5 linked regions of the Nothobranchius furzeri genome follow. The protein of the gene in region 5 purifies or fractionates together with the protein of the main gene of each other region. This does not show direct contact. Links are inferred from orthologs where the notes say so. Each region holds a gene or a part of one and is shown on either strand. Other genes may lie near its edges. The genes, in order: exoc7, exoc3, exoc8, exoc1 and exoc5.

Region 1 (6,468 bases), on a different chromosome or scaffold from region 5:
GTGAAACACCAAGTTTGTGGTCCTGAAATGGGCCCCAAAAACCCAATTAAATGTAAAATAAATAAATAATTTAAATACTAATAGTTGTTTTCATGTAAATTATTACAAATGACTAAAATGATAGATGGTTACTGTTATTTATATTGTCACTATGTTCTTGTTCAGTCGTTTTATTGATGTTTTCACTTGAACAGGTAATAATGGGAGTGGAAAGTCACTGCTGGTGTTAAATTGTAAATAAAGTAAGAAATAAATTGCTTCCAAAAGAAATCTGTTTATTGTTCAAACAAAGAGAAGGTGGGTATAACTTAAGAGGGAAATTGAATTTAAAAATACAAAGTGCTAGAACAACTTTAAAAACTAGGTCAATTGCAATTGCAGGAGTTAAATTATGGAACAGTCCAACAGAAGAGATAAAAGAAAGTAAAAACAAACCAGTTTAAAGTAAAATATAAAAACCTAATTTTAAATAAGTATAAGAATGAAGAAAACAGGGTTAACCCAGGACGGTAATGTGGCTGGTCATGCTGTTGTGCTTCTTTTTCGGTGTTTTTTTTTTCTTTTTTCTTTTTTTCTCCATAACTGGTGAAACTGCAAATTTACACATTCTCTGTTTTCTATATGTTGTTTGTTTTTGTTTTTTTATATTTTTTTTTCATATGTTGTTTGTTTAATTTAAGACTGAAAGAAAATTAAATGAATAAGAGGTAAAACTTGGGGGTAGGGACAAATAAGTAAATACTTCTGCCTACTCCTTCTCAAACAAATAATGGAATTATATTTTGTAATGATACATGTGTGAAATCTTTGAAATAAAAATGAACTGAACTGTAAATGAACACTCTAAACATGAAAAATCCATCCATCTCTTTTCTGTCAGCGTTTGGTTTAAAAAATGAAGTGCCTAAAAAAAGCTGTTTCAAAAATCCCCCAATTGTGATGTCACAAACAGGGAAAGTAGATTAGAACTACCCCTCATGTGCAAGAGAGAACTGCTGCTGCAGGACCAGTGGCTTACCCCTACTGCACACTGGAAGCATCTGTGGCACGGAGCAGCAGCAGAAAGACTTACTTGCAACAACTGCTGCACTCCAGAGCATACCGGGAGAGTATCAGCTGCAAAGCGGCTTCTCTGCTGTGCTCCTCGCTCAACCAGCGGAATCACAAAATCCCTCGAGACTTCCACCATCCTCCTTGCTTAACTCGCGAGATCACAAAATCCCTCAAGTTTATGTCGTCCGCCATTAAACCAAAAAGAAGGAAATCACGTTTGTTGACATATATGATGTTGTTCCTCTCAACTGCCAGGACAAAAGCCATAAAAAACACACAGCTGCACTTCTGGAATGATGCAGGGAGTAAATAAGCCGCTGGGTCGCTTGTATTGATGTAATCTACATAAATGTGAAGTCGCATCGCTGCAATATACATTTATTTTGAAAATTACTGGGGTTTTACACTGAAATCGTGTGTGATTTCCTGTCTAGCACTACATTAATTGTTGCATCCCGGAAGCGGCTCGCGGCAAAAATAGAACACGATCCCATCTTTAGCGGTGCGGTGTGCCACTTCTGAGATGCATCTGAAAATGGCCGAGTCGCGGCTGGTTTGAATCACCCCCATAGATTTGAATGGGTTTTATTTGAAGCAGTGACGCTCTGCTGCTCTTCTGCAGTGCTGATGCTTCCATTGAGCAGTAGGGGTTACTCTGATCCTTTCCTGGATATCGAAGCTTCTCAGCTAATAGCAGCCTGAGTGAGTGGGATGGGTGGGCGTGGCCAATTACAGCTTGTTTTCCTAAAGCAACGTAATGGCTCACTCTGGAAGATACTAAAACTGTCAAGAATAAAACTACTGAAATCACTTAACGTAAGAGGGATTTGGTGCAAAAAAACTTCATAAACATATTTGGTATCAACCAAAGAACTGTTATAATTTAAGAAAAAAAGTTATGTTCCCTTTAAAGTTATCTTGATCAACAGTTTCTCAGGAGTTCTGAAGGTCATACTCTATTTTTGATTTGGACTTTCGGCTGTTTTTTTCCACCACCAGAATAAATTATTTTAGCACCAATGAGAGGATTCAGTCAAATGTGTCCTAGTAGCAGGACAAACAGATTCAGGATGAGATCGTACCACTGTGTTGAGCTCAGGGCTGTCAGGGTGGTTGTCCTGAAAGTATTCCACAGCTTTCTGGATCTTTGCGATACAAGCGAGATACTCGTCCAGTCTGCCTGCAGGTCTGAGACACAACAAGCGCACGCACGCACACGCACACACACGTTATGACTCAATACCAGTAGCAGAACCATTTAATGTTTCCAGAGACAGTCCTCACCCCTCTCGAATGATCCTGTCAGTGTCTTTGGCCACGTGGTAATAACTAATGACGTGATCCATGCAGGAAAGAGTTTTGTCCACATTGTCCTGCAGTCGCTGCAGGTTCTCTGTCTGCTTGTGGACCGGGATGATGGAGTTCTCCAGCTGCATTAGGCGGCTCTCAAACGATGACAGGATGGAAACCTTTCAGGATGAGAAAGAAAATAACAAAAGGTTCAAAACACTGAGAATATAAATATAGGGCTTCTAGTTCGGTTCAGACAAAAGAAAACTTGTGTTTAGAACAAAATCCCTTTAAATCATTGGAACCTAACAGATAGTTTGTGCTTTTATTGAAAAAAAAAGTCATAGATTCATGTATAATAAAATTAGAAATCGAGTTTAGATTACAACCATAAATACTTATATATAATATATAATAAACTCTTAGCAGTGTCCCACATGAACGGAAACAATTGTCTTAGTTTAGTCAAAGTGGGCTTCAGATAAATAAAATACAAAATAATAAAAAGGTTTCAACAGACAAAAAACTAACAATTTACGATTAAATAGCAGTTTCAAATAAACAACATCCATTGAAACATTTCAGACACATGTAAAGTCACTATTTTCAACTTTCAATCTTAAATGTTTATCTTTTTTTATGTTTTCTGCTTTAATTTTTAAACGGGATTTTATTTGATTGGTCGCTTTAATAACTGTATATTAAACGAAACGTGTCCCTTGAAACCTAGACTGACCTTTGACCTTATAATTTTTTATTGGTAACTTTTGAAACGTTTGTTCGTTAGGTGACCCGGATGTTGTGTTGTTTTCTTACCATGCCTTTGGTCAGCTGATCGCTCTTCTCCAGGTTCTCTCGGATGAATGACAGCGTCTCCTGCTCCTGTAACATCCCACAGAAAATCAACAGCTCACCACAAACAGTCTGAAAACACTAAGAACGATCAGAGTTTGCTCTCAGCTGGTGTCTGGACTCTGTTATTGTTCGTTTTAAGCACCGAATTGGGCAGAATAAAGCCCCTTCCTGTCCATCGGAGTCTGACCTGCTTCAGTTTCTCCTCAATCTCCCGCTTCCTGGCGGACGCGTCCTCAGTAGGAATCATCCTGAAGTTAGTTCCCGTCAAAGGGCTGTCTCCAAGGAGGAATGAGCGATTACAGACCTGTTTAGGTCATTAAAAAAAACTAGCAAAAGCCACAGTTCCTAAAAGCTAAAGGTAGCAATCACAAACTAGGTTGGACAGCCCCAACAGCCGTAACTTCCGGCTGTCATTTCAGAATAAATCAACACTTGGAGATCAGATCGGAAAATGCATTTTACTGAGCATTTGACATCAAATATTGACTCTAGATCTAAATATCTGTGTCTATTTATATCAGATAAAACTCCGGGGTACACTACATAGAAAGGTTTCGGCAGGGGAGCACTTAGCTTTCATCCGATATTTTTAAAGCCTTGAGCTATTAAATGTAAAACTGAACATTAGAAATTTGAGTATGTTTAATGGTGTTAAGGTTTCGCAATTTGTTTGTAGTTTAATTTGTTTACTTGTAAACATCATAAATGTTTGAGTTTATTTTGAAGGCATGTTTAGAAAGTATCCGGTGAGGCGTGTTAGTCTTTTCCGGTATCTGAATTGAATTTAAACCACGATACTTGAATTAGGAAACATGTCTTTACACTAATTATTAACAGCAAATCATTTAGAGCGAGTCCAGCAAATAAAAGTATAACCGTTTTAATGAAACTGCAGTGAACGAGTTGTCGACCTCCAGTGGAGTAATAACGGAACTTCACTTTGATTCTAAATATTAGCCTATTTATTTCAATTAAATTGTGTTTGTTTTTATTCTTTTTGGTATATTATTATGAAAGTGGAAGAGTAGAAAAACAACCGAGAACTACATTCATAACATTACATTATCTTATTTGCTACTCCTGTAAAATTTCCAAATAAAAACCTATAGCTGGGATATTCAATTCCGGGTCTGGAGGGCCGGTATCCAGCATGTTTTAGTAATTTCTCTGCTCCAACACACTTGATTCAGAGATTGCATCACCTGTGCAGCAGTTCATCAGGCTATGCAGAAGCCTGCTAATCACCTGCTGATTGAAATCAGGTGTGCTGCAGCAGTTCAAACTAAAACATGCTGGATACCAGCAATCCAGAAGCAGAATTGAATAGTCCTGAATGACATTTAGGGGTCAGCAAGAACGAAACTCACCCAAACATGCCTTTCCTTCATCTTAACACAATAAAAGTTTTTTTTATAAACACTATAGTTGTGGAGTGCTTACCCCAGCTAACTACAGCATTACAAGCTGAGGGAAATTGACTCCCTCCAGGGGAGATCATTTGGATTTACACTGGTCACAGGTGTGTTTAACATGACTAATAGGATTGTTTTGATGGGTTAATAAGAAAAACACACCATTCGCAAAAATTACAAATGTATTTGCAGACAAGAAGTTGGTTCTCATAGTTTGTATACATATTTACAAATCTGAACACACTGTTATGGATGCAAAATGTATTCATACAAACGCTCTGATTAACATTTTACAATTACATAAACTAGTTCTAGGAAATGAAAACAAACTGAAGATAGATTCATGAGGCTCCAGCACAAACTAGTCATTTGAATGATTCATGCCTGTATGAGTACAGATTTATTAATCAGTTTCAGTTACTGAAAAAAAGCAGCCAAACCTCTACCTTTACAAAGAAAGTGAAAAGAAAAAACTTTAAATTAAACACAAGATAGGAAAAACAAAAGCTGTTATGTTGAGGAGGTTGAACTGTGTCCACTTGGTATCATGTAGATGTGTGGCGCTGCTCTCTACGACTCCTCTTCTTTAGACAGAGTCTGAAAATAAAACAGTTTTCATAAACACACACGAGGAGAAGATTCTTCGCTGTGTTTCACTCAAAGATCAACTCACCTGTTTGAGAAACTGTCTGCCAAAATAATTAGTGGCCATGTTCCTTAAGCTGGTCTTTGCTCCCACTTTACATTTGACGTATCCGTACAGGTTGGCCCCTTGCAGCACCAGACCCATGATCACCAAAGGCTGGCACAAATACAGCAGCGTCATCACTTAAAAGCTGGGAAATCAGTCTGTTCCTGCTTATTCAAGAACATCCACATTATAAAAACAATCCTCAAAATGTTTTTCTGAGGGTCAAGGTGGTTCTAACCTTTTGATCGTTAGTAGCTTTTGTACGTTAGCTTCCATTAGATCAACAGACCCTTTTACTGTTTGTAAACAATATGACGTCAGCGAGAATGCGCGCGCAGCTTGGCAACAGAGAATGGCGTTGTGTCAGGCTTTATCAAGCTACGCTGCGGGGTTATCACCGGCAAATCTTGAATGTTATATTATTAAACTCACTTTAACGAATGGCAACAGACTCCCGGAATTCTGTGGCATTACGGAATGGGTGGAAGATGTAGGTGCGTGGCCAGATATCCAGTGGCCCGATATATATACGTTTTTAGTGGAGAGGCCCAGTAAGTACACACGTGAGAAGCTACGGGCATACAAATCGTTAGATGCATACAACTATGTTGTCTGTGGCCACGTACAGAAAGTAAAATATCACGACATAGACTCTGAGTTTTGCGTCTTGAAGGCAGAAGTCCTTCCTAGCCAAAGACAAGGACGCAAGACTGCTATGTACGAGGCTTGGGTCATAGTAAACAAACCAGAGAACTACGTCTTCACAGCCAACTGTACCTGCATGGCAGGGTGAGTATGGCATAGGTTTCTTTTTTTAGCGTGCTCAGAGTACAATCGTGTTAATTTTAGAGAAATACAGTTTATACTAATATGCAGTGGGAAAATACAGATGAATTAGAATGAAATGTTAATTTGAAGCATGAAATAAAGCGCATACATTTGTTTAATTCTGTCATTTTGATGTTCCAGACTTGGGTCATGCTGCAGCCACGCAGCAGCAATTTTATTCAAAGTTGAGCTTTGTGTTAGGATGGGAAAAACACATGGGAAAACGCCTCCAATTTTGTTGAAACGGATGTGCTCCCTTCGGAATTCTGTCAAGTTTCAGTCCACTGATTGAAGAGAAGCGATTCTGGCATCCATACACGCAACAACCCGACATTTTTA
Region 2 (6,026 bases), on a different chromosome or scaffold from region 5:
GTTTTTGGTGAATATATGTTGTGGCTTTAGCCTTTTACTGACCTCTGTGGGGTTAGTCCAGAATGCAATAAAGATTCAGGGTAGACGCTGCGTCTGGGATATGCTTATGGTTGGCTTAAGCAGACCCCTGGAGAAGACAAGGAAGGCTCGCCTCGCCCTGTCGATTGATGACCACAAGCCTGAAGAACACCAAGCAAGAGACGCTGGGAGGAGTCACAAGGCTGAGCAGAGTGCTTCCTGAAGCGGGAGTTGTCATGGAGACGAAGAGGAGACAAGAAGGAGGGGGAAGTAAAGTAATAAAAAGGGGGGCCCAGGAGAGTTCTGAGTTCTGGGAGAGTTCTGTACGAGTTCGGTGGAGCTCTGTGTTTTTTCTTACCCGCTGCGTTGGGGTGATTCTGTTTGGATTCATCTTTTTTCATCCTATTAAATAAAAACCTTGGTTTCTTACTGTAAGAAACTTAAAAGGATTTTGGGTGCCTGGGGTCTCCGTTGGTGTCGTGTAACCAAAAAGGTGAGATGCTGGTTACTTGTTATCCCACTCCAAGAGGTTTAGGCCAGTCATTTTAGAGTCATTAACCTGAGCAATACATGAGCTGCAGGTGACTAAAAGATGTGTTTGGGTTTGAACCGAGTCTTCCTTTCAGCTGCAAGCAGTCTGTTGGCTGGGATCAGAGTCTAGGTCAGGGGTGTCAAACATGCGGCCCGCGGGCCGGATCTGGCCCGCAAGCGGGTTAAATCCGGCCCATGAGATGGTTGTGTAAACTTTATTTTCATACTTTACAATGTAGAGTGAAAATAAACTTATCTTTGTGAGCAAGTTTCCTCTGTAATGAGTATAAATAAAACAAAGCTGCGCTCAAGGCTCACACAAGAACTTGAATCACTTCCTGAAGTTGGCCGCCACTCAGGATGTGACTTCTGATGTTGATGTGCTGGTGAAGCTAAAAGATGTAAAGTAAAATGAGTCAAATATACTTTAAGTGCTGCATGAAACTCATCTAGCCATGTGATCTGTAAGCTCTTTGAATCACTAAGGAATTTTTTTTTAATTTTATTGATTATTTTTTTCAAATTTTCAAGTACACTTCAGGTGTTGTACTTGTACTACACTGTCCTCAGGCTCCAGCCTCGTTTTATATTGATTGTATTAAAACAAAGAAAACAAAGAAAACAATCTGAAGTTTTTTTTTTTATTTACCGGTCCGGCCCACTTGGGACTAGATTTCCCTCAATGTGGCCCCTGAGCTAAAATGAGTTTGACACCCCTGGTCTAGGTTAATGGTGATCGCTGATCAGCTCCTATAGTGTGCAGGCAGTCATAGAGAGCGACTGAATATCACGCCCACGCATAAATAGAAATACAAGTCAACCCTGAGACGTAACATCTGTTAAAGAGTCAGCTAGTGTGGGAAGATGGCTTGTGACAGAACCCCAACGTACAGGCACCAAGATGGAGGGCAACAAGTATGCCCACCCCTGCTGGGCGCCTCTCAGTGGGAGCAACTCCAGAGTGGTAGAAAGTCCAACCTCTCTCGAGGAAACCAGAGCCAGAGCCACACGTTGAGGTAAGTTTAACTACATCTAACTGGAACTTCTCAACCTCACACACCAACTCCGGCTCTTTCCCCACCAGACAGGCGACATGTATCGAGAGCTAGCTTTTATAGCTGAGGATCAGACCACCAAGGTCCCTGCCTTCTGCTACCACCCGACACACAATGTACCAAACCTCTTTGGCCCCTCCCACGATTGGTGAGCTCAGGGGAAGGGGGACATACGTCTCCTCTTCAGGCTGTGCCCCGCCGGGCTCCATGGGTAAAGTCCCGGCCATCAGGCACTTTCTAAAGTTCCCCAACTCCAGAGGGGGGCCCTGGTGACCCACGTACGGGCGACGCAAAATCACTCCCAACTCCCTCAGAGGCCTTTTTTTTTTTTTTACAAAACACTACAGGAAATAAAGTCCTGAAAAAAAAGTTGGACATAATTGAGTTGTGTTACCTCCAGATCCAGGAAGACTTCGTCTAACAGGAACTGGCAGCCCTCCTTGGCCACCTCACCTAGTGTCCTGTCAATAGCAGCGTCGCTGTCGCTGAGCTCCGAGGACCGGGAATACTTCCTCTTCAGACTGCTGATGGACTCTCTGAATAAAAACACGCAACAAAACAATCACCACACCTCTACCTGGATCTGATAGAAGCAGCAACACTAAAGCCAAGGCGGCAAACTCAAGGCAAGGTTGCTAATCAGCACAAAGCTTTACTTTCACCTGTAACGTTCTAACTCATTTACACCTGCCCCCCAAAAGACTCTATGTCTCCTTCATGGTCCCAGAAATACACCAGTCTGTCCAACCTAACGCAACTGGAGATAACATCCTGGTAAACCCAAGGCACTAGAAGGTGTAAATAAGAACTTACTTGAATGTCTGGCAGTTGTTGATGATGGCTATCATGTACTGTACATAACACTGAGGCAGCTGTCTGTCTTTCAGGTGCTCCTCCTTGTAGGCAACAGCTTCCTCCCGATATCTGCAAGCACACACACACACACACACACACACACACACACACACACAATCGTGGCTTGTAAATCATCTTCTCAAACCCCAAACTGAGTCTCGATGGATGTCTGCTCATACTGAGCCAGGATCTGCTGGAGTTTTCCTCTGCACTGTCGCTACATGCTACCTTAGCATGGGGATTGCTGTAAACTAAAGTCTCTGACACAACAAGTCAGTGACTCGATGCAATCTGCTGTGTTTCCTTACGAAACTTAACTTGGTGCACTGATAAGGGATGTTCAGTTGGAATGTTTACTTTGTTAAGTGCCTTGAGACGACTCTTGTTGTGATTTGGCACTACGTAAATAAACGGAACCAAAATCGACTTTATCTTGGGCTTGTTTTATCTCCGGTTCTATTCTTCTGAACATGTCCGACGTGTTGGCTGAAGAAGAATAGAACCGGAGATAAAACAAGTTCTGGTTCGGAGCAAGAGTTTAAAAAGAAGTTAGCGAGATCCAGCATTTATTTTGGTAACCAACTTCCGCTTATTGGCAAGCGAATTAGCATATTGGCTAAATGTTTAAGTACCAGCTAAATATTTATTTTCCACAATGTTATTTAGCTCCACACTATATTTTATATTTTTGGGTCAGACTTAAATATTTATTTCCCAAATATTGATTTTGCAAACTAAATGTTTAGCTCCAAAATAAATATTTAGCTGGGATCTAAATATTTATTTCGGAAAATAAATATTTAATTTACAAATTAAATATTTAGTTCCAAAATAAATATTTAATTAGTAAATTAAATATTTAGTGAATTAAATAATTATTTTACAAACTAAATATTTAGATCAGACCTAAATATTTAGTTTGCAAAATAAATATTTAACTACAAATTAAATATTTAGCTTGCTAACTAAATATTTATTTGGAAACTTTAACATTTATAAATGTATGAATAACATGATGAAAATATGACTTCGAAAAAGTGAACTCCCAATTTTTTCTCTTATGATATGCTAAATAACCAAAAATATTGCTGTTAGATTGTGACTGTTAGACTTTACAAATGGCATCCCATAGCATTTGCGTCATCAAACAGCAAGTATATAACAGCCCTTAGTCATTCACCCATTCACACACTGAAGATAATGAGCTACAATGTAGCCACAGCAGCCCAGGGGCTCACTGACTCATTTCCTCAATCCATCTCTGAGTTGGAGGACATTCAATAACTGATTGTGTTTTACCAAACTAATTCAATTGGACTTAATTTACAAATGAATGAATTCTGAATGAATGAGGGGCGAAGACCAAAGTCTCAAGATGTATAAGAACAAATACCTGACGAGGAAAGAGTGCATCTGCTTCAGGCAAAGCTTTAGAACCTGTTCTTTGAAGTCTCCATCGATCTGTGCAGCTACCTGAAGATTTTGTTCAAACATCTAGAAAAGAGTTGATGGACCACAGGGAGGGAGGGAGGGGAGAGAGAGAGGAAAGACCAATCATGGGGAAGACAAACTGACATTACTGCATGCAAATTCCTTGGTTCTGAGCCAAACTAACAACAGACACCCTGCAGGTTCAGTTAATCAGGGTTCTGCAGCTAAGTCGAGAGAACAGAACTTTGTGTTTCACCTGAAAGACGATGGCTGGCAGCGTGGTCTGGTAGAACCCATCCTGGTCTGCCTCAGGCTCGCTTTCCTTCTGCCAGTCCTTCTTATCCGTCTCCAGGGCCTTCCTCAGCCAGCCTGTTATATTAGACTGGAAACAAGCAATCCATCAAACGCACGCGCACACACACACACACACTGAGCGCCTTGTACGGCTGCTCTCGTGGCCCGCCTGTATCTGTTTTTGTTCTCCATGTCTGTGTCTAACCTTGGCCTGTGCTCTGGGACGCTGGGGCAACAACAATAAAGATGATCTTGGCTCTGATATTACTGAAGCATTCGGGGGTTCTTGCAGAAAATACTTTTACAGACCCCAGAATTAAACTTCAGCATTAACTTTGATGGTTCATCGATGCATACTGGGAGGCCTCACAACGGCCCGGCGTCACCGTCGACAGTGACCTTGATCTAGCATAAATAAACGCCGAACCTCGGTTCTGGTCTTTAAAATCACTGATCTGTGGGTCCTCGGGTCAAATAAAACCAGTTTAGTGTTTTCACAGCAAAGCCGGGCGGACACTGTGTGACTTTTTCACTTTTTTTGAGCCGATTTTCCAGTCGTGCGAGAATCCACGAGATCGGGGCGAGTTTTGCGCCGAGCGTCGTGTAGTGTACAGGGGGTTTCGAGAGGCCATTAACACCACGTGACCAGCTACCGATCAGCAATCGTGAGCTCGCACGGACTTCTGGCGTGTTTGATATTTCGCTCGTCCCTCGTGAGGGTATCGCACTGTTGAAGCGGCGCTGCGAGCGGCTGCGACCCAAAAGTACCAGAACCGCCCACGACGCATGCGCAGTCATGCATCAACACCGCTCGCCCGCTATTTTCCTAACAACACACGTTGTTCGTTTTTATTTCTACGTGTTTTTTACTCACAAAGATTGTCAAGAAAGCGTGTTTGTCGTGTTCATGTCAAATTAAACTGATCACAAAACACAGATTTACTTTCTTTATTTCGTTTTCCTCATCCAACCCCCATAAATCCCTGTGTGTCCCCCTGCAGCACTCCCGAAGGACAACAGGCAAGACAAAAAAAGTCTGACGTGTTGAATAAAAACTGCTATTTTTAGCATATTTTTAGGGCCGACGTGTTGCTACCAGACGTACAGTGTGAGCGCATGACTCGTGAGATCTGCCCTGCGAGGAAGTCGTACCGTTTGAGCTGAAGCTGAGTGCTACGAGTGAAAAAGTCTCACAGTGTCCGCCCGGCTTAAGAGACCAACTCTCATACTTCTGAGGAGTAAATATGCGAGTCGAGCAAACTCTGAATCAAATAAACGTAGTTGTGTGGGTCAGCTCTCGGTGTGCGGACTCAACCCTGAGGAGCTGAATTAGAAAGTTTAAGTCTAAGGTTGTTTTGTTTCTCTGTATCAGATTTGTTTATTTATGATTTCTCTCATGTTTTTTTTTAATATTTAAGCTATTACCCATCCACCCATGGTGTGGCACTCACGGTAAAAGTCTTCACATATTTGCTGAGAAGTTCATTCACCACATCCTGCGGCAGCAACGGCTCCAGCTGATTTATGTCACACTCCGAACTGAGATCTGGATGGCCCATCATCTCAACACTGCAACACACACACGGCTGTTACATGCGCCGCAAGAACCCACTCACACACACACAACCCACCCCTGCAACATTCTTTAAAGAGCAAGTCACCCCCAAATCACATTTTTTTTGCTGATAAACTATATAAAGGAGTGTCTAATCATGCTACAGACACGTGTAGTCAATAATTTGGCAGTTCAGTGCATCTTGGTTAAAATTCAAATATTCTGCCTAAAATTGTCAGTGTTGCGCCGTCGTCAGGGAAAAATTCTGCACTGTATTTGAATTTAAA
Region 3 (6,685 bases), on a different chromosome or scaffold from region 5:
CAGCCTCACCTCTGTCAGCGTGCCCCAGGACAGTTGTGGCTACATCATAGCTCATCCCCACTAGCGTGTGAACGTTTGTGAAGGGGTGATGACTGATTGAGTTGTGAAGCGCCTTGGGTGGTTGTAGAACCCTAGGAAGGCCATTTCAGTACAAGTTAGACCCGTCTCACAGCAGGATCCTTCTCTGTGGGCACAGGTTTTTCCTTCTTTAATCTTTAAATGTAGCTTTTCAACCCTTTAAATTGTTTTGAATCTCATATTTTAAATTAATTTAAATGTTTTAAACTAAAATTGAAAAATATCTATTGAACTAATATATATATATATATATATGTATATATATATATATATATATATATATATATATATATATATATATATATATATATATATATATATATATATATATGTAGATAGATAGATAGATAGATAGATAGATAGATAGATAGATAGATAGATAGATAGATAGATAGATAGATAGACAGATAGATAGATAGATAGATAGATAGATAGATAGATAGATAGATAGATAGATAGATAGATAGATAGATAGATAGATAGATAGATAGATAGATAGATAGTTAGAAAAGTAAGTTAACGAATATGACATTTTAGTGCTTATAGCTTAAAATAATATTGTTTCTTTATTATTAATAATATTCTACATCATTTTAAACCCCCTGTTGCTCCAAATTAATAAATAATGCTGTTTTTTTAGCAGACTAACCACAAAATTGAAAGTAAAGCTGTGCATTTTTAGCAACGAAAGCCTAATTTCTATTTTTCTGCCACAAGAGGGCGACAAATCTCACTGCTAGGATTCGTAATCAGGCACTGAAATACAATTAAAAGCCTTTTTTTTAACCCTAGTTTCATTTGAGCAATTATGATCCCATAACACTTCACTTATACTTTACCTATCAGTTATGAGTGATTTTTATTTTACTTTTATAATAATCAGTCATAAACAGTGAGCCATTCACACAAAGGCATAAATTAATGCGTTAAGCTTAAAAAAAATCTAAATCTGACTTTTAGTAGGTGAGCAAAAAGGAATGAAAGAGCTGTAAATAAGGATGCCGTTTCAAACCACTAAACCTTTGATCTTTTTTACCAGAAACGTTTACTTTGTAGTTTCTGAAAGAAAAAAAACATGAAAAAGAAACTTCTGTGAAGTTTAAACTTTAGTTTTTATTGCAAATTACATTTTCTGTTCTTCTTATTGTTAAAATTAAACAGCAACCTTCATGTTTTATTGGATTTGAATGGATTTGCATGCATAAGCTGCAGGTGTGAATAAATGGGACCCATTTCAACCCCCCCAAAAAAAAAAACTTTGCAGTTCCCATTTATACTAAAAACAAAAAAGACTAACAGTATGTTTAACAAGGTTACTGGTTGCAGACAAAAACCACAATTTAACAGAATATCTGAGTGCTAATTTTAGTCATCCCCACGTCACATGCTCGTGTGTTTAAGCTTTACGTGACAATAAAAATACAATCATTTTGACGCGTTTAAACGTTCCTAAAACCAGATGTTTTGCTAACATAAGGAATCCCTTGTAAGATAAAATATTCACGTAAACGAGGTCAAACACCAGCAGAGGTCGGTTTATTCTTTCATTGGACTGAAGCGTTTTGTATGATGGATTATTAACCCGAAGAACTGAGAACTAAACAAGCTGCAGCAGGAAAATTTAACTTTAAATAAAACGTCCGACTGTGTCATCACTGACTCTTTCATTTTACCATCATTTCCTTCCTGCAGCATCTAAACACCCAGTAGTTAGTGTTGTGGATCGGGTCTGAGGGGGGAGGTGAAATGACAGGGAGGGAAGGGGGGAGTGGCCACCGGCCGCCGTTTCAGTCTCACGCGGTTTGTTAAACGAGCCGTCGAAGCTCCTGTCGGCCTCAGACTAAGGATGTGGTGCTCTCTGGGTTGATCCGCACCGGCCTCGTGCTCTTCCTCAGGTCCCGCAGCTGTTTGGCCGGTTTCCCCACACCCTCCTCAAACCGCCGCTCCACCACTGGCAGCACGGTGTCGTGGAGGAAGGTGGCGTTCTGCAGGACGAAAGCCTTCTTCTCGGGGTCCTGCTCACAGCGCAGGCTGTAGTCGACGTGCTGCACGGCCACCAGGATGATCTCCCTCAGGCTCTCCAGCAGCACCATGTGCAGCTCGGGGAAGTAGAGCTTCAGACCCTCTTCCAGGAAGCTCATCATCTGCTTGGTGAAGGCCACGATGGTGTAGCTCAAGTTCACCCAGCAGTCATCGCCCGTGTACTGCTGGAAACTAATCCCACAGCTACGCATCTCATCCTGCAAGACGAAGAGAAAAGCCTTAGATGCTGCTCAACACCCGCATTTTCTTTAGTTTTCTTCTTCAAACAAAAGAAACAAACACAAAATTGGGAATTAAGGAAGGCTGTTCGACCTTGAGCTTAGTTAAAGCCTCAGGGGTCATCAAGTTCATCCTCCTCCACATCTCCTCAGAGTTCCGGTGTTTTGTGGCCTCAATGATGATGTTCTTGTAGCTCAGCAGGGCTGCCTTGACGTCTTTGACCAGCAGCGACTGCAGCGTGAACGTCTGATCCAGGCCGATCTCCGTCAGCTGCTGACAGTGCTCCTTGGCCACTTTAACGCACTCTGCTGCTGTCGACAGGCTCTCCTTGCTGTCAAACACCTGGAAAACAGAAAATTGGCCGTTTTGAATCATTTTCTGAAATAATTGGAACAATAATTGATCTTGATTTTTTTTTTATCAAGAATAATGATCGAAACATATTTCTTGACTCATGTTAGGGACATCGCTGAGCCTCTGCTGACCTGTTTGCTAAACGCGTCCACAAACATCGTCATGGCCGATCTGGACCAGACCACAAAGGCAGAGTAGCAGCCCGTGTTCCCCGCAAAGTCCGTCTCAAACTCCTTGGCAGTTTCCAGCAGGCTGGTGAAGAAAATGTTGCAGAGTTTGTGGATGTAGAGCAGCGTGGCTCCTTCGATGCGGAGCTGCCGGATGGCCGTCTGGACAGCCGCGGCGCGGTTCTTCAGGAACAGCTCGCAAGCCTTGGTGGACTGACCTGAAACACAGAAATGACATCATCAACTGTTGGAAATATAACTTTAAATTGTTACAGGCATGGATTCTCCAAGGACTACTCTGGCTTTGTGTTGAAATGTTTACTGGTTTTGGGAAATCAACATTTTAATGGTCTGTGAGATCTTATTAATACAAATAAAGACCTAATCTGATGAGCTGGGACACGGCCCGCCGGGTCGCTTTAGGTCCACCACGAAGCGACCGATCAGGAGACAGCTCAAACACCAAGACCTCAGTCAGCTGCCGCACACGCTCATCCACCTTCGCCTTCAGCTCTTTCACCGTCTGGGTCGCAGGCTGGTCTTTGAGATACTCGTTCAGCTTGTCCAGCAGGTCCACTGCACCCTCAAAGTCTCTCTGAGCGATGCACACATCCAGGTCCTCGGGCAGCTCCTGGATCCACTCGAGACTGAGGTCCACACTCTCCTCGGCATCTGCCGGCTCGTCGTCATCCACATCAAAAGGGTTGTTGGACACTTCGGCTCGCACGGGAGAGGTGGGGACCTCCTCCTCTTTCTTGTGTTTGTCCTGGGAGGCTTTCTTTTTCTTGGTTTCATCCAGGATCTCCAGCCACTCCTTCTTGACTTTGCTGTTTTCCACCTGGAAGATGCGGCTGTCTGGGAACATGAGAATCTTGAACATGTCCTTCATGGGAGGGTTGTCCTTTACGTTGACCACAGCAAAGCTCTCCAGATCATACAGGGCATTGTATTTATACTTCACTGTGCCTCTGCGGTTAGGCAGCCAGGTGGCAATCAACAGGCAGTCATTCATCAGGAAAGCATGAGCCTTCTGGATGGGGGACATGTTGTCCACATCAAACTCCACGAGGTCTCCATTGTAGACCAGGTGTCTCCCTGGGGTGTCCATGATGTTTTTAGCTCCTTCCACCTTCTCCAGCAGTGAGGTGAGAGTCCTCTGCTTCAGGTCCTCTGTCTCTTTGGGGAACGCTGCCTGCATCTCTTTGGAGGTCTCGTCCTTGTCTGTGGACAGTAAGGCCTGAGTGATGCTCTCCATGATGCTCTTCTGCTCGGTGAGGATGTGGCTCAGCTGGTACATCTCGCTCTCCAGGAAGGAGATCTCCTTGGCCGTTTCGATGAACTGTCTGTAGTTCTTGTACACGTTCTTCTTGAGGTTTTGGGCCGTTTCATCAGCCAGAGTTTGAATTTTCTGACGATGCTCCTGAAGGTCTCTGTCGCCATCCGACTGCTGTGACAGCTGCTTGACGTAGTTCTGTGGATCGAAGTTGGGCGATTCCAGCAGCTTCCGAAGTCGGTTCCCGGTTTCCGACATCTTTGGTTGTCTGCGTGTTTCCTTATTAAGCAAAACTGTTAACAAACTGACGAGAAACGCAAACAGAGAACGAGCGCCTTCATATCCACGTCAACAAACACAGGAAGCTGAAAACAGGTCAACACCCCAAAAGGATCTGGCTTCTCCAACACCCGGGTTGTCAACGTCACATGAACGTCACGAGAAGGGAGAACAAAAAGGATGATCAACAAAAACTCAGAACAAAATTGTTATTGATCTTTCAGGTAAACCAAACAATGTTTTATTTTTATTTTAAAGCTTCTGTTTATTTATTTACTCATTTTGCTTTTTGTGTGTTGTTATTTTGCAGTTGTTACTGATTACTGGGCTATTGAACAACACCCGGAATAGGTGTTTTGTTGTCCAACTATTTACCTACCGGAAGTTTACGGTAGCTGCAGAAACATTACAGATTTTCAACAGCGTTTAAACAAGCTAATTTTAGTCATCTGCTGATTAAAATAAGATACAAAACTAAGCGGGGAAAGCCAAATCAAACACGAAATTAAGTTTGAAGTAGTTTTTTATTTAGAAGTTCATACGGAAAGAGACTCGTTGTAATGTAGTACATGTAGCAAACCTGCTGTTTGGCGCGAGCTGTGGACAGACCGACTATTATTACAGATACCTTTGGCTGACAAGAAGATGAGATTCATCTTTCAAAGTCATGACTTCAGTCCTTTTACCGATGTTTCTCTGAAAGGTTGATTTTATAATTAGGCTGCAGACGTCGTTTGTTCCAGAACTTCGTGCTATTTACATTAGCAAGTCAGCTAACAAGCTAGCACAGCTGCCTTCTGATGTCATGGATGCGGATTTCCTGCTTGCCATTAAATTACAGGAGCAGTTCGATAATGAGTACGAGACGTCATTAACCTCATCAAATAGATTCGAGGATAATTACTTCGAACAAAGCAGTAAGAGACGGAAAGTGGAAGCAGCCGGAGGTGGCAGCGCTGCTGTCCCCTCCTGGAAGCCGGGTCACGAGCCTGAGAAACCCCTGAGCATCGTGGATGAGTCCTGGGAGATGCTGGACCCAAACCCAGATGTGAGGGCCATGTTTCTGGAGTTTAATAGCCTGTTCTTCTGGGGGAAACTGAGCGGAGTCGAGGTGAAGTGGAGCCCCAGAATGACACTGTAAGTTTTGTTTGTTCACCAGATTTCCTACAGCAGGGATGTTTATAAACACTGTTGGCTTTACTGGGATTCAAATATGGTAGCCACAAAGCGCGAGATGCTTGGAAAAACATCATTATTGAAGAAAAATAAGGTAAAAGATTAAACAAATGGGTACCACTAAATATCTGACACAAAGTATGTCAAACATAATTTCTAAAAAAGCAAAAAATGTCCAGTTTCATGAAGCTCTATTATGGTTTCCTTGTGCTTCTATGCAATGTTAAGGCCTTCTCTATTGTATAAAATGTGTCCTGTTTCTTGTTTTGATGTCCTCCACTCCAGCGCTGTGTTACAGGAATAACAGAGTTTTGAGAAAATGCCTCCTGTGTGTTTCCGTACCTAGGTGTGCTGGTGTGTGTTCTTACGAAGGCCGAGGCGGACTCTGTTCCATCCGGCTCAGTGAGCCTCTTTTGAAGCTGAGACCCAGAAAAGACCTGGTGGAGGTGGGATGGGTCACTTTACATTAGTGGATCTTAAAGACAGAAAATCCTCATCCAGATTATTGCTAATAATTTGTTAATTTGATTGTTTCCACAGACTCTCCTTCATGAAATGATTCATGCACTGCTGTTTGTGACCCAGAACAACCGAGACCGAGAAGGCCACGGTCCTGAGTTCTGCAAACACATGAACAGGATCAACAAGGCCAGTGGGACGAAAATCACAGTAAGTGTTTCTCCTTCAGCTCTGTGTGGTTTTGGTTGACTTTACGATAACAATCTCCTCTTGTCCCTCGGTCAGATCTACCACAGCTTCCATGATGAGGTCGATGTCTACAGGCAGCACTGGTGGAGGTGCAATGGGCCCTGCCAGAGCCGGAGGCCTTTCTTTGGTTATGTGAAGAGGGCTATCAACCGAGCTCCATCTTCTCTGGACCCTTGGTGGGAGGATCATCAAAGGATGTGTGGCGGGACGTACACCAAGATCAAAGAGCCAGAAGGATACAGGAAAAAAGGCAAAAAAGATGGGAAGAAGGATGCAAACACCTCAGAGAAGACTTTACGTACTGGCAAGCCTTTAAATACAAGTAAAGGTGAAGTTTTTCTATTTTTTTAAGTAGTTTATTCAGGATTTGCCATCAGGACCAAATACA
Region 4 (6,665 bases), on a different chromosome or scaffold from region 5:
CATAGTGCTTATTCTCTGATGTATATAAACAGAAAAAAAGCCACGTCAAACCAGATATCTGATATTTTGTGTAGCTTTGTTGTTTCTGTGTAACAAAGCTGATAAAAATGACATAAGGTCATGTGACCAGCCACAGCCAGTCATGCTACAGCAGCATTTAACATGTTGTTGCTTTTAAGTTAAGGTACAGAAAATCCACATGAAAGAAATTGTCCAGCCTGAGTAGGAACACGGTTGTAAAGGACAAGACTGAGCACTCACCTGGTGAACAAACACATTGTTAAGGTGATTGGTGAGGCGGCGAGCAAACGTGTCTCTCAGCTCAGCAAACAGAAGCTGCTGCTGCCTCACAGCCATCAGCTTTTCATGACCTGAAGGAAGTAACGTACACTTTCATTTGATTGAACACTAAAAAAAAACTACAAAGTCAATTTATTTCTGCAGAAGTTACTCAATACCTGGCCGCAGAGCCACGCTCATGCACTGCAGCAGAGCTTCAGAAGCATTGATGCAGGCCTCTATCCCTTTAGGGGAGGTGAGGTCTCCTTCCTGCAGAGCCCTGATGTGCCCCTTTGACAAATCCATGTAGTTCTACAGGAGGAGAGAGGAACCAGAGTCATCTAACAACACACTGTGACTCAGTGTCACACACACACAACTGTGTGTTATAGCGCCTCACCACTAAGAACTGGATCTCATCCAGCAGTTTGTTATTGTTGGTGTTGCTGATCTGGATGAGACGGTTGCTCTGGGAGATCTGATCCATCTGATCCTTGACGCTCTGGAGCATCTCCTCGTAGCTGCTCAGCTTTCCCTCAATGGTGTCCACCTCTGTCAGAGCTTCATCCAGCAGCTGCATCAGGATATTGACCTGCTTCTCTGATGCCATGATGGACTGGATGTTGGCCTTTAGGAAGACACAGATCCAGAGATGCCTTTTTGGTTAACTCATTAACTGCTATTGACGACTAAAGTCATCATTTTAAATCCAACCGCTCGCTGCCATCAACAACTAAAGTCATCAATTGCATTTTATTACTGGGCAGGTGTGGGAACAAGCCCCCACACCGTGAGAACAAACATCCCGGCTCCAAAGCTGATCTTCAGCCGCTCATGTCACACACCACCTGATCAGAAAATCCATGTATTAGGAGACCGTTTTGGGCCGCCGCTGTGATAAAGGTGAGGTGGGAACCGGAGAAGCATCTGCCATGACGACGGATTATGAAAGAACAGATAACTCTAGAAACACGCGGATCCGTCCTGATGTGGGAAGTGAGTCTACCCTTTGTTTTGGTGATCTTGGAGTTGATTTCATCATTGAGCACAACGTTCTGTGACTCTTCAAAAAACCGTTAAAACGCTCAAAACCACTGGCAGCGAGAGGCTTTTCTGATCCGGAAACTGCTGGCAGTTAATACGTTAATGATTTGGGTTTTCTGAGAAACTAGCAAAAAAAAAAAAAAAGAGAGCGTCAGTGACTGCTTCGCTCACCCCGTCTAAAACTTGCAGCTCCTTGAAGAGCTTCTCTGCAAAAGCTTCGGCGTTAGAGATCGCGTACTCGCACGTCTCCATCATGCTCTCAATGTCCTGCTCCTCACGAGTGCTGAGCTCTTGGTAGTCATCCAGGGCATCCTCGTCGCCTCCGGCAACACTCTGGCTCTCACCGCTCGGCACCGACTCTAAGTCCATGAAAATAAGTGAAATTAGGAATACAGATGATAATACCAGAAGCACTGCCATTGTTGTCAGATTATTTTTTATTATTTCTTTGATTTAAATAAATAGAATCAAAGGTATTTAGAGTTTAAAGAAATGCTACTAAAGGCCGTAAAATCTCATTTATTACCGACATCTGATGATAATGTAGCAGGGATATGAACACAAAATGAAAACCAATCTCAGGCAGTGGCATGAGGTCAAAAAGCACATACATGAGCTAAATTTTATTTAGTGTTTATTATTAGACTATGACTATTTTAATACATAACATGTAGAAGAGGTGAGCATAAACTATGTGTACAGTGCACTAATGCCACAAAAAAATTAAGTCATGACTTAATGTGGAATAGATAGAATAGCTGAACAACCTAAGTTTGTGTTACAGTTGATGTTATAATTATCATTAGTATTATTATGTCCTCCATGTTTAATTACATGATTTAAATCACAGGAAATGCAGGAAAACTAGAATCTTTGATGAAAATGGTGGCTTGGGGTCATGAACAGTATAATGAAGAGGTAGGAGGAGGGATCAAGCGGAAAGTTTATTCCTACCAACCTTCAGCTTTAGGAAGCTCTGGCCACAGAAAGATCAAGAGAAAAAGAGTGAGAATAAAAAAAGAACTTAACAAAGAAAACTACTGACACAAACCAACATACAAAGAAGAGGCTTTCAGTTTTAAAAACATGCTACCTGTAAATAAAATCTACCAAATTATGGAGGTATACACATTACACATGCAAAAGGTTGTAGAGTTGTAGAGCTTGAGGGGAAAAGATGCATCTTTAAAGAATTACAATTAAGTTATAGTAAGGAGCATGCAGACTCTGAGCTGGCTGAAGTTTTAGCATTTACCCACCTTCAAGGAGCTGAGAGTTGACGTTGACAAACTCCAACTTCTTCCTTAGATAACGCTGGTTCAGCTTCCAGATACAGGAAATGAAGGAGTTTTTTTCAGCTGTGCTGCTAGCCAACCATCGGTAAACCTTCTCAAAATGAAGATCAAACTCTGGGTTTTCCTACAACGTAAACAGAGCATGCATCAGTCCTAACTGCAGAGTGCTGAACCAATAGGGGACGCCATGACAGACCGTGTGACCTCTAACCTTGCTTGCATCTTTGGCATCTACTACTGTCAGGTCTCGGAGCTCCCAGGTCTGCTGTCTCTTATAAAAGTCCCCCTTGTCAGATTTCTTCACCTTAACCACTTTAACCTGGACTGGCCTCTCTGTGGTAACTGGAAAAAAAGTCCTTTTATCATGAATGTTCTTTACAGGAGCTTCCGCAGCTTTCACACACATACCTGTAGCACACAAGAAGCAGTTTTTCTTTTTCTTTCCCGCCTTGCAGACATTAACTATGCCGAGAAGACGCTCGTCGTTGGGTGTGAAGATGTCCCTCTGGAGAGCGTGCTTTATGGCTGTCATGGTGGATCGTACTGTCATACAGAACAGAACAAGTCATGAATCTGATCAACGCAAGACGTATCTAGTGTTCGGTTCGTGATTTCCAGTTAACAATAAAACACATATTCAGAGTAGGAACTCAGAATGAAGTGGGGAGGGGGGGGGGGGCGGATGAGTGATTCAAACACCACCAACATTACAGAGAGCGAGGCCCTTCAGAGAACACAAGAACCAAACTTCAAAAATATCAGACGTTTCACGGAAAAACATTTAGAGATTCAGCAAAAAATCCCTAAAAGTTATATCAAGTCTTGATTTTTTTCCTTTGCTATCGAAAAATTCTTTAGTCGTTTATTTAACCCAATTTGACAGTTTTTAGCAGCACAGGAAAAGGTTACTGACTGGTGCTTTTGCAGACTGCACTGTTTACTGTTTAACGTATACATAAAGCCGGAGATTGAATCTGAGAGACTATCGTAGTAAATGTTTCTATTAAGCAATAACAAGCTACCAAACCCCGAATTAAAGGGTTCTGAAGCAACTTAGGTCGTGTATGTGGTACAGAATCAGCACTAGTTCCTATAAAAACGTTGTCCTCTCTCCGGTTAGATATTAGTCCTAGGCTAGCATTGCTAAGCTATCGACGATCAGCAAAAACTGCCCAACGTGCATTGTAGCTACATTCACAAATGACTCTACATTGCGTGTTTAGATATCGTAATCAAAATATTCTATAAATATTGAAAATAGTATAGATTTTACGTAGCATTTACCTTATTTTCATCCGCTGCAGCCCTTCAAAGCACCGCCCTCTCACTTCCTGCTTCTCGGCCACAGCTGTCATGTGACAACCCAAAGGCCACGCCCACTGGAAATACTAAACCCATTTTAATGATAGTTTTTTTTAAAAGTTATTGGTCATTTTCAGTAATGTGCGAAATTCTTGGAACGAATTTAACTTATTTAAAGCAGTAACTGAACAACGTGTAAGAGCCAACCCTGAACTGAATCTATTGCTGCTAGGAGCCAGGTCAGTGCTTCTGTGCACTACTACACCTTTACAGTTACAAGTTACTTCTGACACCTTAACATGGGCCTCTGTTTACATTTAGATTAATTTGACTCAATAATTTACTTGATATTTTAGATATATTATTACCATGTTTACTTTTATACTTTCACATTATGCGCCTGAATGCGTGTATGTGTGTGTGTGTGTGTGTGTGTGTGCGTGCGTACGTGCGTGCGTGCGTGTGTTAGATGATGTTGCCCCTTTAAAAAAGAAGGTAATTAGGGATAGGCGGTTGGCTCCCTGGTTTGATTTTCATTTACGAACTTTAAAACAAAACTCTAGAAAATTGGAGAGAACACGGTGCTCTACACACCAGGAGGAGTCCTACTTATCCTGGAAAAATAGTCTTGTGCTTTATAAAAATAAGCTTCGACAAGCTAGAACTGCTTATTTTTCAGCGCTAATTGAGGAGAATAAGAATAATCCAAAATTTATTTTCAGTACAGTTGCCAAACTTACACAAAATCATAACTCTGAACCATCGATTCACTCAGCAGTAACAACTTTATGGAATTTTTCACAAGTAAAATTAATTCCATTAGAAACAAAATCTTTAGCATCCTCCCTAATGTGATTTCTTCTTCCTCAGTAAGTGAGGCAGCATCAGAGGTAACTGTAGAACCTCATCTGTGTTTGAACCGTTTTGATCCAGTTGAGCTTTCAGAGTTATCAAAAATATTAGCTTCATCTAACTTCAACTTGCAATTTAGATCCAATCCCAACCAAATTATTTAAAAATGCAATTCCTTTGGTTACTGCCCCCTTTCTAGGTATAATCAGTCTATCCTTAGTAAATGGGTATGTACCACAGGATTTTAAGGTTGCTGTAATCTAACCTTCACTTAAGAAGCCTTCTCTGGATCCAGATGACCCAATGAATTATAGACCAATATCTAACCTTCCATTTTTATCCAAAGTCCTGGAGAAAATAGTGGCCATCCAAGTATGTGAGCATTTAAACACCAATGCTCTGTTTGAGGAATTTCAGTCTGGTTTTAGAGAGTATCACAGCACTGAAACTGTATTAGTGAAAGTTACAAATGATATTCTCATGGCCCCAGATAAGAATCTCAATCAATCAATCAATCAATCAATCAATCAATCAATCAATCAATCAATACTTTATTAATCCCAGAGGGAAATTAGAGTTTCAGTACACACAATTCAGAGATCAGACATACATGGGCAAGACACATGACAAGAATTGGTAACTGTGGTCATTCGCAACCCGAGTTGGGCTACCTTAATAGAGATAAGAGGGTTACATGAGAGTTGGATCAGGTGGAGACTCCAATAGGAAGGCGGGGGGGGGGGGGGCTGGGATCCTGATTCCCCCAGCGGAAGCAGCCATCCACGGCGGTCATCTGCTGTACAGTCACAGGTGGGAGGGAGATCTTGGGAGAAGCGAAGAGCACATTGTCTCCAGCAGATTGATGACCTTGCCAGGTTGAAGTCCACCAATCCAAAGGCGGGGTGGGGGGTGGGGGTGGGTGTCGGGTTTTTACAGCATCTGTCTGCATTCCTTCGTGGGGGTTTGTTGCTTGCCGCTCAAGTAGGGATGGGTACCTTTGACATTTGAATCGATCCGGTACTAATTACCGGTACCTACGAATCGATACCGGTACTTAACGGTACCAATTTTCGATACTTTTGACTGTTTATTATTTTAATTCTCTTTTATAATTAAATATATTTTTTCTCAATATATAACAATATTTGATAAATATCACAATAAATAACATACAACTGTTTGTATTTTAACATCGTCCTTGTAGTTTTATAAGCTGATAATTAAACTGAAGCAAACATCTTTACTGTGAACTAAATTTACTGTGTATCTTTATTCCTTTTGCCGTCTTTTTTCATTTGATTTTTCCTACTGGGAAGTTAGAATTTCCGAGGAGAAAGCGAACGCACCATTAGCTGATAACAATGGTAGCAATGGAAGCTAAGATATCAAGCTAACAATATCTTAAACAGTTTATTTAGCTGCTGAAGCAGATTAAAACGATGATGCCTCACACTTAGATCGTCGCTGGTTTCGTCTTCACCCGTCACATTTAGTAACCTGAAGCCAAACTTTAGAGCGCGTTCATGTTGTTCTAGTCGGGAATTCAGAGTTTCGAGGAGAAAGCAAACGCACCATTAGCGAAACGGAAGCTAACATATCAAGCTAATTATATTTACCTACCGGAGCAGATTAAGATGAGGATGTCTCACTTAGATCATTGTTGCTGGTTTCATCATCACCCAGTTACCCATCACATTTAGTGAAGTGGACCCAAGCTTTAGCGTGTGTTCTTTCTACCCATGCTGCTCTGTTTACAACTGGTTCACAGCGAGCGACGTTAAAACGCTCTTGCTCATGCGCAGCTGTCTTGGCAAGTTCTCGTTATGATGGACGGGTACCGAAACGAGGCACCGTTTGAAATGACGTGAATCGGTGCTCGGTAGGTACTATGGA
Region 5 (5,788 bases):
TGCTCGGTCTGTAGTTTTTATTTCCTTATGCTTCCAAACGCGCGTACAAGAGTTGTTCGGAGTGACGAGTTAAAGAGGACGGTCTTATCCAGCTCTCCAGTGTTGACAATATTACTAATCCCCTCCACCTGCTCAAACACCCCCCCACAACCCCCTCTCCCTCCCCCTCCTCCGTACGGCGGTGCTGGGAGCCCCTGAGGGCCAGGCTGCGCGGCTGCCTCCATCTCTACACCAGTTATCGTCTCTGGCCCGGCTCCGCTCCACCCCCCCTCCCAAACCCCTTTCCACATTAATCGCTGCGAAAACAAATAGCTGTCAAATGTTTGGAAAAGAGCCGCTGTTTGCATCAGGGCCTAACTCAATAATTTTTACAAGCTATCCAGTTGTGATTAGGACAGAGAGAATTGAATTTATGTGGCATTGATAATATTAATATTAGCCTAATTTACTATGTTGTTTGAACTTGAACAGCACTGTGTACCTTCTACACAACACTAACCAGCCGGCACAGGAACTGAGCTCTCAGCCGTCTCTATCTCTCTGCCCCCCCCCCCCCCCTCAGTTCATGACTACTGCACACAATTCATCAGCTGGTAGATATCTAATCCCCTCTGGCTCGGCTCACTTCCTGAAGTCGGAGAAGGAACTTTACACTGGTGGCAAGAATTCCTATGAATACTTGATGACTTCTACAGAAAGGAGGACTGTTTCATCCCACTTTGAAAGTGACATTCACAGAGAGGAACGGGCAAACTTCAGAACATAATTATCCACACAGATGAACGATGATAAAACGCGTCTTTTATTGAATCGGGGTAAACAGCAGTACAGCGGGTCATGACCTCAGGTGATATGGAGCCCAAATAAGCCCTGTGTGAAGAAGTCCCTTTTTACCTTGGAGCCTTAATCACCAAAGGTCAACATTTTAGTGTCCTCTGACCCAGAAATGCAGCAGATCAGCCCAACAATGCTCAGTCTTGGATGAGTGAGTGCTGATCTGAGCAATTACAGTAACACACACTCAGTGACCCAAGCACCTGAGCCATGAGGGGACCACCCAAACCCTCCAGAGATTCTCAGGCCCTCTTTGGTGCTCAGATCACACTTCGCTGGGATCTCCTCCTGACTCAGCCTTTGTGGTTGGCAGTCAGAATATGAAAAGGTGGTCATGTGTCTCTTTTAGGTTATTTTTTTTACACTAAACCAACAACAAGATGTCAGAAAAATCCATTCTTTCTTACCTAATTGGCTGTTTGGATTGAACTGAGCCATTTTTAATTCATGCCCTTTGATCAAAGCTTACACGATCAAAATGTTGGTTTCTACTGAAATGTATTCTAGACACACTTGTGCTTGAGTCATGTCGGACACTAAAAACTGAATTAGTAATAACTTATGGAAGTTTTTTTTACCTTAATGAATAATGTATAAACTTCTCCCTGCACAGATGTACATTGAGTACCAGAACTGGAAGTTTCTGGTACACCGGCATCATGGCCGTTTCTACCTTTAGGGAGATGAAGCTCGGCCTTTGTGTGTTCCCATCATGCAGTGCAACTGCAGAGCTCGTGTCTGCACCCTGGTTGTTGACAGTTTCCCTTTAAAACAACACCAGAGTGGATTCTTGTGCACAAGAGCAGCTGCAGGACTTATATATTTGGCACAAGCAAAACATATTTTTAATGTTAGCAGAGATATAATTACAGTTATTTTAATTATAACATGAATTTATGAACAATTGGTGTTTAAAAACAAAGGGAATTCTAATTTGATGGACATTGAAAATAAAAATACAAAATGCACATTTCCCACATTTTTAGGAGCCTACAAGCAGTCTTCCACTGCTTGTAGTCTGTGTGATGATGCATCACCTTGAAGGTGCATCTTCTCATCAAAGCTCATTTATCCTTGGACGGAGAACAGCGAGCGTTCCGGGAGTCATTAGCTGAAATGTCGACCCAGTCTGGCTGACCGGTAGTCCGCCCTGAGCTGGACAAAGGCGTGCAGAAGGTTCCGGTCCAGGTTGGTGAGCTGCTCCCCCGAGCAGACTTGCTTCAGGTTGTCGGGAGCAACCACCAGCAGGTTACAGAGGGCGTGGAGTGTGTCGAAGAGCTGCAGCACCAGAGGGACCTGAGGACGGAGACGTTACAGCAGATGCATTAAACTACAGGTGAAGTGAGCCAAGCCGCGTTCAAAGTTCCTCTCTCACCCTGAAGTCCTTGGCGCATCGTCGGTACTCGGCCACGTCGCAGATGGCCAACATGCCCCCCATGGAGCTGTAGCTGTACTGCTGTAAATGCTCGTGGATGAGTCTGTGAAAGCGCACCCCCAGCTCCGTCAGCACCGTGTCCACGTTTTTCCCATCCATGGACTTCCGCACGTGCTCCACCTGCCGACTGACGTAGGCACACACCTTGGAGCAGGCCTGCCGAAGGAACCAGGAGAATGGTTTGTATCATCAACAAATGTTTATCTTAAAACGATTCATTTTATTTATGGGGCGAGTCTCTCACTGAAGTGCACTGGATCATGACATTGTTCTCATCCTCAGGCCTGAAGTCCGTTTTCTTCTGCTCAGTGGTCAGGACGTGCTTCATCTGCCCCACCATGCAGTTCAGTGTTCTGTGTGACAGAAACGCAGATCAGAAGGTTTCCATTTACTCATGGAAACAGATTTTACACTATAAACACATCAACCTGTCGATTCCCGTGTCCAGTTTCACCTCCATCTGCTCGATCACTTCTTTCTTCTTGTGCAAACACTCCGCCAGCTTTGGGGAAGAGCTGTAGACGAGAGTGAATTCAAAGGCTAACCCCCTAATGAAAGCACTGCTCAAAAGTTAAGCATCACTTAGAAACTTCACTGTTTTTCATGGAAACACATAAAAGGGTCCTATAGTCGTGTTTATGTGCGTTTCCATGGAAAACAAAAACATTTCTTGGGTATTTGCTAAAGAATAAAGTACACAAAAACTAGAATGCTGGCTTGTATCCGACCTTATTAAAGGCATCAGCTGGTCATTAAACTGCTTGTCAAACAAATGGAAGATGGAGTTCGCCTGCTGAACCACGTCCAGGAAGTACAGGTTGGCATTCTTGGCATCAGATGAAGGAATCGCTGCAGATCAAACAGACGTGAGACCAGTCAGATCAAAATGTAGATGAAAGCATCATTTTTATCATTTACAGTAGGTGGACTCTTAAAAAAAATGTTCATTTTGAGAAATGATCTGGAAAGACCAGACGGACACATTCTGTTGTCACTTAGACGTTCGTACCTGCGAGGCCGATCTCCAGGGCGTAGTCGATGTGCTCCACACACAGATGTTCCACCAGCAGGAGGAAAATCGAGAAGGCGTTTTTGGGCAAATCAGAAGGATCTGAAAGCTGTTAAATAAAAAAATAAAAAATAAACATTTTTCCTTGAGATGCTCTCCACCAACGACCAATGAATCAAATATTATCTCAAAAAATAAAGTTTTAACCGCCTCTGAAGCACACAGTCCTGAAAAGACCTTATCCCCCTTCTAAATGATTGGATCATAACCCATCCATCATTGATCTGCACAGAACACTGTGTGTGCAGGACATGCTCGCACTCGGTGGAGCAGCCGAACAGGAAGAGAAGCTAGCTGAGCTGCTTTGGTGTCATGGACGAAATGTCCTGTTCCGTTTGCAAGTCTCATTTGTTTTACACATCCTGTTCAGAGTCTGGTTCTGTTCCTGTTGGGAAACGTTTAGGTGATGGAGGTTTTGTTTTGGGAATGAAGAGAAAAGTCTCAACTCTGCGTGGGAACGAGTGAGTGTGTGAGTTTATGTGTGCTAGGGCTGGGCGATGTGGCCTAAAATCAATGTCACGATATCCCGAGGATTTCACCTCGATAACGATAAATGTTCGATTTATTGCCTAGCCCTAATGTGTGCACTTCACCCTGAGCAGGCGGAAAGGACAGAGTTCAGTTCGTGTTCTAGAAGTTTTGTTTGTGCTGGTGGCAAAGAACCGTAGTGGTTTTGAATTTTAGAATAAACCAAGAAAGCTGAAAACTGGATTGTTTTTCACCAAAAAAAAAAACACCAAACGCCACAAAAGCTAGCATTCTAGTTTGGCAGAGGGGACACGCGGGAGGAGGTCTGCTTCGGAGTTGGATCTGAACATTTTGACCTTAGCAGCTCAGCAAACCTGCGTGTGTGTGTGTGTGTGTGTGTGTGTGTCACAAGCAGATGTTTTACCATTTTCTGACACCATCAGATTCTGTAACTCTAGGGGGGAGTTTGAAGAAAGGGATTGGTACTTAGATTTTTTGTTGTAGCTTGCTTGAATGCATTTTTCCAACAACACATAATCCATCTTTAAAGGCATACTATGCAACATTTTCCTTATTCTACATAACTCTCTCGAGCCAGTATGTGCTAAAATGACCTTTTACAGTGTTAATGAAATGCCACTAAGACCTCCACCGCCCTCTGTGGCCAGAATATCACACTTGCAACTTCAGAGTGCCGGTCCAGTCTCTGCTGAACTTAGTAAAGGGGAGCTGACATGCCTGGCACTGCAGTCTGCTTCCAACACGTTTCCTGTTTGTTTAGATCGTGAACACAGCTGATTTGTTTGATTTAGTGATGAATCACTCCTGTGGAATCTAATGAAGGCTGAGGAGACATTTCAGCAGTTAGATTATGGGGTTCAAAAGTCGACCGCAGAGCGACAGCGGCGCCCACAAGGGGTAGAAAATGCTGGCCACGCCAGAGAAGACCAATGTTCTTTGATGAATCATATCAATGTTCACAGAATATTATTTAATTATTATTTAAACCCAATAACATATACAATTAAAGAATAAATAAATAATCAGATTTTTAAAAAGTATACACGTTTCTCCTGCTCAACACGTTTAAATCTCTAAAGTTTTTATAGATGTTTTTGTGAAAAGTTCTTCAAATCTGAGGTAAGTGTGTTGGATGCATTTTGTGTTTTTAATTAAAAAGAATAAAGGAGCATGCAATGCATCAACACAGGCTTGCAGAGCTACCATACGGACCAACCTGGTGTGCCACCCCCAAAATTTTCTCTAGCCCCACCTGGCCACCCTATGAATTTTTTCTGGGGGCGCTACTGCACAGCGAGGAGGTAGTGGGAAAAAAAGGGAAACCTTAGGGAACACTAGGATGTGCTAAAAGCAAGCCAATCAGCTGTTCGGTCTGCAGAAAGCAGAGACGGCTCACCCTGTGGCATCTCTCAAAGGCATGACGTGTCTCCTGCAGCAAGTTAACAACCAGTTCTGGGGACAAGAAGGTCTCCCCGTGGGTGTCGATGCTGGGGCCCAGTGGAAGATTGGTGCGCTGTCTGATCCGCTCTTTCAGGTCTTGAATGCTTTAAGAAGACAATTAACATTTCCAGAATTTATTATAACAGGTGACAAAGCTGAAGTTGAAAACAGACCCGCTGATGCCGATGGGGCGTTTCTGGTGGTTCTTGGAGTCGTAGTATCGTTGCAGAATCTGGCCGCCTCGAGTGCGAAGGTATTCCCTTTCCATGTTGATGTAAGTCTCCAGGTAGGAGGAGAAGATGCTCTTTATCAGCTTGGACAGGAACGTATGCTTGTCTGAGCCCAGGTTGAACTCTGTCAGCTTTGTAGCTAAAGCTGTGGTCCTGAAAGAAAATCACGACAAAAAATTAATCACAATGATATCTGCAAGAAACCAACAAATCACAAGTGAAGAAGTGGCTTACTTGGTGTAAAGGTCATAAAGGTTTTTGAGGTACTGCTCCACATCAGAATGTCGAGTC

Evidence for each region.
Region 1: the proteins of exoc5 (region 5) and exoc7 fractionate together in Homo sapiens (co-fractionation; 4 studies listed by BioGRID and IntAct, with this or other methods). This does not show direct contact. The link is inferred for Nothobranchius furzeri from reciprocal best matches to the Homo sapiens genes EXOC5 and EXOC7.
Region 2: the proteins of exoc5 (region 5) and exoc3 purify together in Homo sapiens (affinity purification with mass spectrometry; 7 studies listed by BioGRID and IntAct, counting the BioPlex papers as one, with this or other methods). This does not show direct contact. The link is inferred for Nothobranchius furzeri from reciprocal best matches to the Homo sapiens genes EXOC5 and EXOC3.
Region 3: the proteins of exoc5 (region 5) and exoc8 purify together in Homo sapiens (affinity purification with mass spectrometry; 5 studies listed by BioGRID and IntAct, counting the BioPlex papers as one, with this or other methods). This does not show direct contact. The link is inferred for Nothobranchius furzeri from reciprocal best matches to the Homo sapiens genes EXOC5 and EXOC8.
Region 4: the proteins of exoc5 (region 5) and exoc1 purify together in Homo sapiens (affinity purification with mass spectrometry; 4 studies listed by BioGRID and IntAct, counting the BioPlex papers as one, with this or other methods). This does not show direct contact. The link is inferred for Nothobranchius furzeri from reciprocal best matches to the Homo sapiens genes EXOC5 and EXOC1.

Annotation. Positions count from the first base shown.
Region 1 is NC_091756.1:53,831,654-53,838,121, forward strand, and holds the start of exoc7 (exocyst complex component 7), read right to left. Parts: upstream 3,582-6,468; 5' UTR 3,446-3,581; coding exon 3,386-3,445; intron 3,226-3,385; coding exon 3,160-3,225; intron 2,523-3,159; coding exon 2,338-2,522; intron 2,242-2,337; coding exon 2,136-2,241; intron 1-2,135. Other genes in the region: tvp23b (Golgi apparatus membrane protein TVP23 homolog B), read right to left, coding at 5,181-5,207, 5,284-5,412. UniProt on the Homo sapiens protein: Component of the exocyst complex involved in the docking of exocytic vesicles with fusion sites on the plasma membrane.
Region 2 is NC_091751.1:65,608,072-65,614,097, forward strand, and holds part of exoc3 (exocyst complex component 3), read right to left. Parts: intron 5,754-6,026; coding exon 5,636-5,753; intron 4,273-5,635; coding exon 4,147-4,272; intron 3,954-4,146; coding exon 3,853-3,953; intron 2,529-3,852; coding exon 2,418-2,528; intron 2,141-2,417; coding exon 1,999-2,140; intron 1-1,998. UniProt on the Homo sapiens protein: Component of the exocyst complex involved in the docking of exocytic vesicles with fusion sites on the plasma membrane.
Region 3 is NC_091742.1:10,761,565-10,768,249, reverse strand, and holds exoc8 (exocyst complex component 8), read right to left. Parts: upstream 4,542-6,685; 5' UTR 4,393-4,541; coding exon 3,243-4,392; intron 3,080-3,242; coding exon 2,826-3,079; intron 2,683-2,825; coding exon 2,434-2,682; intron 2,319-2,433; coding exon 1,914-2,318; 3' UTR 1,593-1,913; downstream 1-1,592. Other genes in the region: DNA-dependent metalloprotease SPRTN, read left to right, coding at 5,219-5,550, 5,936-6,035, 6,130-6,258, 6,334-6,625. UniProt on the Homo sapiens protein: Component of the exocyst complex involved in the docking of exocytic vesicles with fusion sites on the plasma membrane.
Region 4 is NC_091748.1:40,498,753-40,505,417, reverse strand, and holds the start of exoc1 (exocyst complex component 1), read right to left. Parts: upstream 3,996-6,665; 5' UTR 3,903-3,995; intron 3,162-3,902; 5' UTR 3,151-3,161; coding exon 3,027-3,150; intron 2,961-3,026; coding exon 2,830-2,960; intron 2,743-2,829; coding exon 2,583-2,742; intron 2,300-2,582; coding exon 2,282-2,299; intron 1,683-2,281; coding exon 1,495-1,682; intron 908-1,494; coding exon 680-907; intron 592-679; coding exon 459-591; intron 372-458; coding exon 262-371; intron 1-261.
Region 5 is NC_091758.1:32,179,811-32,185,598, forward strand, and holds the end of exoc5 (exocyst complex component 5), read right to left. Parts: coding exon 5,732-5,788; intron 5,651-5,731; coding exon 5,441-5,650; intron 5,372-5,440; coding exon 5,224-5,371; intron 3,388-5,223; coding exon 3,279-3,387; intron 3,119-3,278; coding exon 2,998-3,118; intron 2,785-2,997; coding exon 2,698-2,784; intron 2,623-2,697; coding exon 2,514-2,622; intron 2,426-2,513; coding exon 2,210-2,425; intron 2,131-2,209; coding exon 1,942-2,130; 3' UTR 1,712-1,941; downstream 1-1,711. UniProt on the Homo sapiens protein: Component of the exocyst complex involved in the docking of exocytic vesicles with fusion sites on the plasma membrane.